Linked DNA regions of Caenorhabditis elegans. The protein of the gene in region 1 interacts with the protein of each later gene in a biochemical or structural test. Each region holds a gene or a part of one and is shown in the gene's direction. Other genes may lie near its edges. The genes, in order: ced-1 and ttr-52.

Region 1 (5,283 bases):
GCAAGTCATGAACCCGTATTGCTCAATGAGCAATGATGCTCTTCCGTTTTCCCATTCAATTTCAACAAAAACCCCCATCATGTTGTTCTCTATGTCTTATCTTATCATCTTATCACTCAACAATTCGATTGTTGAAGTGTCTGCGTCTCCGCTCCTTGAGAACTACGAATTAATGTATTTCTCGAGCCCCATGTGATTGTTCGAACAGAATTTCACTTTTTTCGTCAAAAACAGCATAGATTTTTGTCCATTTTTCTTCTTGTCTGTGAAAGGATTACTCCTAGATATCTAGAGATTGACGCAATATCGGGAGGGACCATAAAGGTGCGGCCCAGTGTGGCGGGGACACCTCTTTGATATTCGATAGTCCACCCTTTTGACCGATTGGGAGGATTAACAGGTGGATAGAGACACTTGGATAGTCTATAAATTGACACTTGAGACTTTATGTCGATTTTTTACCCCAATAGGTGTAAAGGTTTCCGGCGTCTTATTTCCTAGTTTACTATTTTCTGATAATTCAAAATATCGAATTTATCAGTAAGAGTTCATGTAATAGTTATTTTGGAAATAACTATTGAGTGACATATAACATATAACTGTTATATTGAAAAACGGCAATTTGCCGACTTGCCGGTTTGCCGAAAATTCTGAAAATCATATATCATATAGCAACTTATATAACAAATATAACATAAACGTTGCTCAATAGATATTCTTTTGATTTGATACTTTCTTCCAGAATAACTACATGAAAACTTGCTGATGAATTCATTATTTTGAATTATGTGAATTTCCGGCCAAATATTGCTCATTTTAAATTATTACTAGATTCTGATGGACTTGAGACCCATTGCTAATCCCTGATAAATGGGCATATTGCTAACTGTAAAATCTTATACTCATCAGATAATGCTTATTCACATCAGTTCTTGCTTTAATACTAGTACTAATTAATTATTACCATACTTATTTCATTACTTTTATATAAACGCAATTAATATAATTAATTATTAATATTAATACTGATATCGGTAGCATATAAGATATAACATACAAGAAAAATATAACAAATACGTTGCTCAATAGATGAATAGATATTCTTCTGATCTAACGCATTCCATCCGAAAAAAAAAATCCGCACTATGCGATTTTCCGGCCAAATATTGCTCATCATAAATTATACACAGTATTGGCAAAAATAACCTTTAAACCCATTGCTAATCCCTGATGAATAGGCATATTGCTCACTGTAAAATCCTGAACTCATATGATAATGCTTATTCACAACAGTTCTTATTTTTAACCAGCCGTGGACCGCACCTTCGGCGCGGCCCCCGACTTCTGGGGCTGAAAATTAATTTTTTATGAAACTACCGTAACCCTACAGTATTCCTACCGTACCACTATTGTACCACTACAGTACCCCGACTATATCCCTACACTAACCCTAACTCACTATCCCTCCAGAAGCCAAAACTTCACAGACTACAAAGACTACATAGACTACAAACTATGGACACACATAATAAGCGCTTTATATGTATATAGTAAATGATATTAATACTAATTAATGTTTAATTAATTAATACTATAATTATATAATTAATAATATTAATAATAATAACTTATATAATTGATTATATACTTAAATCATCATATCATTACTTATATATTAAAATAATTAATGATTAATAGCTATACTTATATAATTAATACTATGCTTACTATAATCATCATTTACTATATATAAAGCGCTTATTCCGTTTGTCCATAGTTTGTAGTCTATGTAGTCTTTGTAGTCTGTGAAGTTTTGGCTTCTGGAGAGATAGTGAGTTGGGCTTAGTGTAGGGATATAGTCGGGGTACTGTAGTGGTACAACAGGGTTACGGTAGGAGTACTGTATGATTACGGTATTTCAGAAAAATTAGTTTTCAGTCCCAGAAGTCGGGGGCCGCGCCGGAGGTGCGGTCCACGGCTGGTAACTTATATAATTGATTATATACTTATATCATCATATCATTACTTATATATTAAAATAATTAATGATTAATAGCTATACTTATATAATTAATACTATACTTACTATAATTATATTATCAATTAGTAATAATACTGATACTAAGATTAATTAACAAAATCATAGCTTTGCATATTTTGAGTGAATTTTTCTATTCTCTGTTCTCTGTGTTCTTCAACACCATTCGTATTCCATTTTCCATTTTTCCACACAAAAATCCTCTAAAATTCCCTGTTTTTTTGCAGCCGCAAATGCGTCTCATTCTCCTTGTGCTACTTGCCACGTGGCAAGTCGTGGTGGACACCCGAGCACCCACATTTCCCGACAAATTAACACAGCAGCTGCAGCAGCAGGGGACAACAGAACCACAAGGAGATCACGTGTGTACGGTGAAGACGATGTGAGTCGAGCTGAAACTGGGAAGACAATTGAAATTCAAGAAAAAAAAGATTTTGGAGAGCTCCAAAATTAAAAAAAAAAAACTGAAAAACTAGAACTTAATCCAATAATTTTGATTTTTTTCTGAAATTTTCACGACAAAAAATCCGGAAAATGAGAAAATCTAACATTTTTTACAAAAACCTGGAAAAAAGCATTAAATTACAAAATTATATTTTTTCATTTAAATTTAATAGGAAAATTTTCAAAAAATAATTTAGTGAAAAAAAAAATTTTTCGATAAAATTATTATCGGATAATTTTCAATATTTTTTCCTTTTGCATAGTTTTTGTGTCAAAAAACGAAAATTTCCCGAAAATTCTAGTTTTTTGACATATTCTTTATCCTAATCTCTTTTCACAATATTTGTGCTCATTGAGCCCTGCTCAAAATGGTCCCCGGCAACGCTTAAGCCAACAAGTGCCTGTTTCCTGTACATATACATATACAGAAACATTGAGCAAATAACCAAAAAATATAGAGACCGATTTGAACGAAAAAATATAGATTTGGCAAAAAAATTAGCAAATTTTAAAAAATTTTTTTGAATTAAAAACCCGAAAAATCTATAAATATTTAATCATTATATTAAAAAATGTATTTTAAATATAGAGTATTTGAATTTAAATATATAAACAGTATTTTAAAAAAATCCAGATTTTTAGGAAAAATTGAGCAATTTTAAGTGATTTTTTCATTCAAAAACCCCCGAAAAATCGATAAAAATCCAAAAAATTTGCAGTGTGGACGACTACGAGCTGAAAAAAGTGATTCATACAGTGGTGTATAACGATACGGAGCAATGTTTGAATCCATTGACTGGATTTCAGTGTACTGTTGAGAAGTGAGTTTTTTTTTGGTGAAAAAAGCGGGAAAAATCGATGAAAAACGCTGTATTTTTCAAATTTGTGAAGAAAAATTGCTAGAAAGCTTGAAAATTGTGAAAATTAACAATTTAAAATGGAATTTCTCTGAAAATTGAATTTTTATAATAAAAATGGCACGAAATGAATACAATTTTGAATTAAAAAAAAACGACAATTTTAATTCAATTTTGAAGCGATTTTGGAATAAAAAAAACTAAAAAAAAAAAAACGGTTTTCTTGTAAAAATTGAATTAAAAATGTCCAAAAATCACAGAAAAACTGCAAATTTTGTCACTTTTTTTGAAATTCTGGAGAAAAAAAAATTGAAAATTCGATAGATTTTTTAAAAATTAAAAAAAAAAACTATTTTTTTAAAATTAAAAAAAAAACCATTTTTTAAAAATTACAACATAAAATTTCCGAAGAATCTGTAATTTTTCGGGGGTTTTTTTTTCCAAAAGTTTGTGTGAAAATCCAATGTTTTATAGTCTTTAAATTTTTGTTTCAAATTTTTTAAATAAAAAAAATTAGAAAAATTGAAATTTCAAAGATATTAAAAAAATTCCAATTTTTTAGAAATAAAAATAAAATTTTAATAAATTCTCTGAAAAATTGAGTTTTTTATTCGAATTTTTTGAAATAATTCACAAAAAAGTGGGAAAATATTCTGAAAATTGTTTGAAAAATCTGCCATTTTGCCTTTTTTTTTTAACAAAAAAAAAAATCACTTTTAATTAAAATTTCTAAAAATTATCAAGTTTTGTAAAAATTAAAAAATATTTGATTAAAAAAATTAAAAAATTTTTTTTTTCAATTTTTTCAAAAAAAAAATTTTTTTTATACATTTCGACCGATTTTTCCAGATTAAAAAGCTGAAAATATAAACAAATTCCCAATTTTTCTTTTAAAAAAGCTCAAAAACTCGAAAAACCCTCAAATTTCCCATTTCCAGACGCGGACAAAAAGCCTCCTACCAACGGCAACTTGTAAAAAAGGAGAAATACGTAAAACAGTGTTGTGATGGATATTATCAGACAAAAGATCATTTTTGCCTGCCAGATTGTAATCCTCCGTGTAAAAAAGGAAAATGTATTGAGCCGGGAAAATGTGAATGTGATCCCGGTTATGGTGGCAAATATTGTGCTAGTTGTAAGTTTTTTTTTTTGAAAAATTTGGAAAATTTGACTCTGGAGACTCTTTTTTTGAGCAAAAATTTGTCAAAAAATTGGAAAAATTGAATAAATTTGAAATTTTTCATGAAAATCTCAGAAAAACTACGCTTTTTGCGATAAAATAGTGAGAAATTATTTATTTTCGCTTTTTTATTCGAAAAAAATTAATTTTCCGCTAGAAATCACTGAATTTTTGTACTTTTTTTGTAAAAAAATCGGTGTTGGAAAAGTATTAAAAATCCTTTTTTTTTTCTCAAAAAAAAAAAAAATTAAAAATCTGGCAAAATCTACCATTTTGCCGGTATTTTTCAAAAAGGTTAAACTTTTTGAGAAAAAATTAAAAAAAAAACAAAAAAATTAATTAAAAATCGTATACTTTTCTCAAAAACTTAAAAAAAAACATATTTTAATATTCACAAAATTGGCAAAAAACCGAGTTTTTTCCGAGATTTCGAAAAAAAATTACAAAATTAAAAAACATCTAAAAAAGTTGAGAATTTTTGGAAAAAATTGAAAAAAAAAATCCAAAAAGAAAACGTTAAAAATACTTTTAAAAAAATGCAAAAAAAAAAAAACCTGAAATTTTCGAAATTTTTGATGACAGTTTTTTTTTCTTTAAAAAATTCAACAAATCTCCAAATTTTAGTGAAAAAATCAAGAAAATGGGAAAAAACCAGAATTTCTGAAAAATCACAATATTTCAAAATATATCAATTTTTCTCCGAAAATTCCCAATTTTTTTTGAAAAATTGACAAAAAATTTTTGAAAAAACCTGAAATTTGAAT
Region 2 (3,600 bases), on another chromosome or scaffold:
TATCAATCAATTGAAAGGAACAAATAAAATTGTATGTCTGAATTTTATTTCGTTAGTACATTCAAAATATTACAGGAACTCAATACAATTATCTTCATTATCACTCAACTCCTCAACGGAGGGGCACTTCCAGAACTTCCACCAACTCCAATTAATGTTTAATACTCACTTTTCTTTCTTGCCATGTATATTGTATAAATAATTATTTTGTAAATAAATATATCGAACATTCATCAATTTTAAATAACTTTTCAATATTAATCAACATAATAGTTTTCCAAGTAATTAAACACTGATTTATACTTGATATCATCACTTGTCACGTTTCTCCCCTCGAGCCCTTCAGTCATGTCCTCTTTACACATTTTCTTTAACCTGGGTCACTATTCCATCGTTCTTCACTTTGCTCCACACCACTTCTCATTCCAATGACCTTTACTCTGCGTCTCTTGGTTTTGTGTACTGTCTATTCATATGTTATCTCACAATGTGATGATAATGGAGTCATTTATACAAATGGAGACAAGTGGATCCGAAATAATCATTTTTTGGTCACTTGTCGAGATGGAAATATTCAGGTTAATTTAATAAGTATTGGTTATATTTTTGGATTAGAATTTTAGTGAACCAAAATGTTTCGATGTGTATTTTAATTTATAAAACTTCAGACTCTAAAATGTGTAACCGACAGTGGTCATTTACTAGAAGTCGGCTCCAAAAGCTATGTGGAAAATGGATATGAATACATGTGTGCACGTGAAGTTACGGATAATCTGAACACAAACACTTGCCCCACATTCGCCGATTTTTCCGATGATATTTTCAAGGATAGATTCGCAATTTGTTGTATTTCAAGACGATTTAAAGGATGTGTTGATGCAAATGGAGATATTGTCAAGAGTGGATTCTTTGTGATTGGAAACAAAAGTTTGAAGTATTGCAGGATTCAGGCAAATCAATTACAGGCAAGGATTGAGCCGAAAGGCAAGTTTTTTTTCGATTTATTTTCTAACTCTTATCGTATTCCAACTTAACTCTTATGGGATTTTGTTGGAGTATTGAAAAGTTTTTTTTAGAACGGAACAAACAAAATTGTAAGTTTTTTCTAGCAAGTTTTTTTCTAAAAAACCGACAAAGCAAGTGCTAAATCAAAAGTTACATTTTCAGGTTGCTTCAACGGAACAGAGAAAGACGATGTAAATGATGAAGAATTGCACATTAAAAAATATGCAGTTTGGCGCGAAGGTATTATTTGTTTTTTTATCAAGATTTGTTTAAAATACATTTAGGTGACATTGAGTATCGTTGTGGAGATGATGGAGTTCATATTCAAAGATGCTTTCCGCCTGAACTCAAGAAAAAGGCTATTTGGGCTGGAACGGCTTGGATTCAAGAAGACGGACAAGTGAAGACGTGCGGAAAAATAAATTAAACTTTATTGTTTCAATTAAAAATGTTTTGGAATAATATGATAATGATCTGTCAGTAATTTACGATTTATCAGGTCGGCAGATCGACATTATTTTTTCTTTAAAAAAAGTTTGACCTTTGATAATTATAGCTAAAAAAATAAATAGTAGTTGACATTTATAGATCTTCAGAGCTCAAATTTGTAATTGAAAAATGACCTAGTCATGTACATACAAGTGAGATGTGAAACCATTAGATCCAAATATCCACATTAAATTAACGGTAACACATAAATATCTACTCCACAACTGAGAAGAATGCACTTGAGTGTTTGCTGACACGATGACACCAATGAGCAAATAAATATGAACATGATCGATAAGATAGGAGTCCATGATGTTCCCCCAGGGGAGTCTCTTCAACCCCCACGCATTCCTTATACTCCAATATTCTCCAACAAAAGACTTTCAAAACATATGTCGAGATTTTTGATTTACTTCCTGCCTTTTTTCATTTATTCAGGGAACGTTTTATCAAAAACTAGTTGTCTTATGGCAACTGGAGTCTTAAAATGCCCAACAGATCCTGAAGCTGTTAAAAAAGTGCATATCGATTTGTGGGATGAAGATTGTAAGTACTTTGTAATATTAATTTTTACTATCAAATTTGTTTAATCTTGAAAAATTAAAACATTTCCAGCATTACCTCTAGAATCGGATGACTTGATGGGTCGAACATGGAGCGACCGTAACGGGAATTTCCAAGTGACTGGTTGTGCAAGTGACTTTGGTCCAATTAATACACCTGATCCATATTTATATATTCAACACAATTGCCCACATCGTGATAGTAATGCTACAAATCCTATACAGGTATATCTGAAGGTTCTGGAGAATGCAAGTTTTTAAAAACTAGCAAATTTTCGGCAATTTTATTTTTTGATTTTGAATTTTTTGGAAATTCTGAAAAAATAACAAATTTTTTATACCAAGAACTATGAAAAATATCAGTGTAAGTGCAATTAAATAACATGGAAAAAACATGGAAACCGACTAAAAAAATTGAAAAATACAATCCTGTAAAATTTTTTTTCAGTTTTTTAAAGAATGAATATTTGGAGATCAAAAGTAGGATTGAAAAATAAAATTTAATATCTACTTTGCCAATAGATATTTTTATAGGCATAAGGCAGGCAGGCTCATGTTTATATGCCTTATGAAAGGTTTCTTATAGATCAGAAAGCCAAACTTTTTTGCTGAAACTTTGCTCACAAATTTCAGATTGACGTAATACCCCTGTTCCTACCATCAATTGTCCGTCTTGGTAATGTTTATCTAGATCGATACCTTGAAGACTACTAAAGAACTCAACTGCAAATAAAATGATTGCCGTAAAGTCAATGTTTGCATAAAACTGTTCATGATTTCTGTCTCGATATACTTCCGACCTCCTTTTCATCTATGTCTCTCAAATCTGGTATAATAAAAGTCAAATATTCTCTTCATTTTCTTTTTTTTCCGCCTCCCACTCTCCACAGTTTTGACAGTAGTAACAGCGCGGAAGATATATGTACGCGGCACACACCACGCGGAATGGGTAACCGGTTCCAATGAGCTTTTGCACATTGATGCTCCCTCTGCGTGAAATACTAGCTTCTACCATGAAGGAGGCGCGACCTTTGGGAGAGAAAGGCAGCTTACGAGTTGAAGCTCATTCCAGCATCAACGGAGCAACACCCGGAGCATTATAGGTTTGTAATTTACCGGATTTTGAATTTTTCCAACTTTTTGATTTGAGATTTTCCAAACTAAAAGTCCCAATTTGTTCAACTTTTTTTTCAATTTCTGCAAATGAGCTTCTATGATTTAATCGATTTTATTGTAGTTTAGACATTTTTTCAATTTAATTTTCCCAATTAGAAACAGTGAGGATTTTTGATGTGCCATTTGAAACATCTTCTGAAATTGGTAACCCGTAAAATTGGTAACTCGAAGACATTGGCTGAAACTCCAAAAAAAACCTAAAAATTGATGATTTATAGATTTTTCCACTTTTTGGCTGAAAAAATTACTGAAAAGTATCAAATTTAAAAAAACCATAAATGTTTCCACGACTGCCTAAACTTGATCATTCATTTGGGCGCGAATTCAAAAATTATTAGGTTATTTGAATATTTTTTCTGCAAAGTCA

The links.
Region 2: the proteins of ced-1 (region 1) and ttr-52 form a complex in vitro, tested with the Caenorhabditis elegans proteins (one study listed by BioGRID).

The regions. Positions count from the first base shown.
Region 1 is NC_003279.8:11,865,088-11,870,370, reverse strand, and holds the start of ced-1 (Cell death abnormality protein 1), read left to right. Parts: upstream 1-2,265; 5' UTR 2,266-2,271; coding exon 2,272-2,420; intron 2,421-3,201; coding exon 3,202-3,303; intron 3,304-4,277; coding exon 4,278-4,474; intron 4,475-5,283. UniProt on the Caenorhabditis elegans protein: Involved in programmed cell death, also called apoptosis, in both somatic and germ cells. Acts by recruiting ced-6 to phagosomes which enables actin-dependent cytoskeletal reorganization and subsequent engulfment of the apoptotic cell corpse.
Region 2 is NC_003281.10:13,402,875-13,406,474, forward strand, and holds ttr-52 (Transthyretin-like protein 52), read left to right. Parts: upstream 1-1,843; 5' UTR 1,844-1,886; coding exon 1,887-2,040; intron 2,041-2,109; coding exon 2,110-2,282; intron 2,283-2,690; coding exon 2,691-2,771; 3' UTR 2,772-2,909; downstream 2,910-3,600. Other genes in the region: srlf-10 (SXP/RAL-2 family protein Ani s 5-like cation-binding domain-containing protein), read left to right, coding at 1-31, 76-162; mig-18 (Abnormal cell migration protein 18), read left to right, coding at 429-578, 669-984, 1,168-1,245, 1,290-1,432.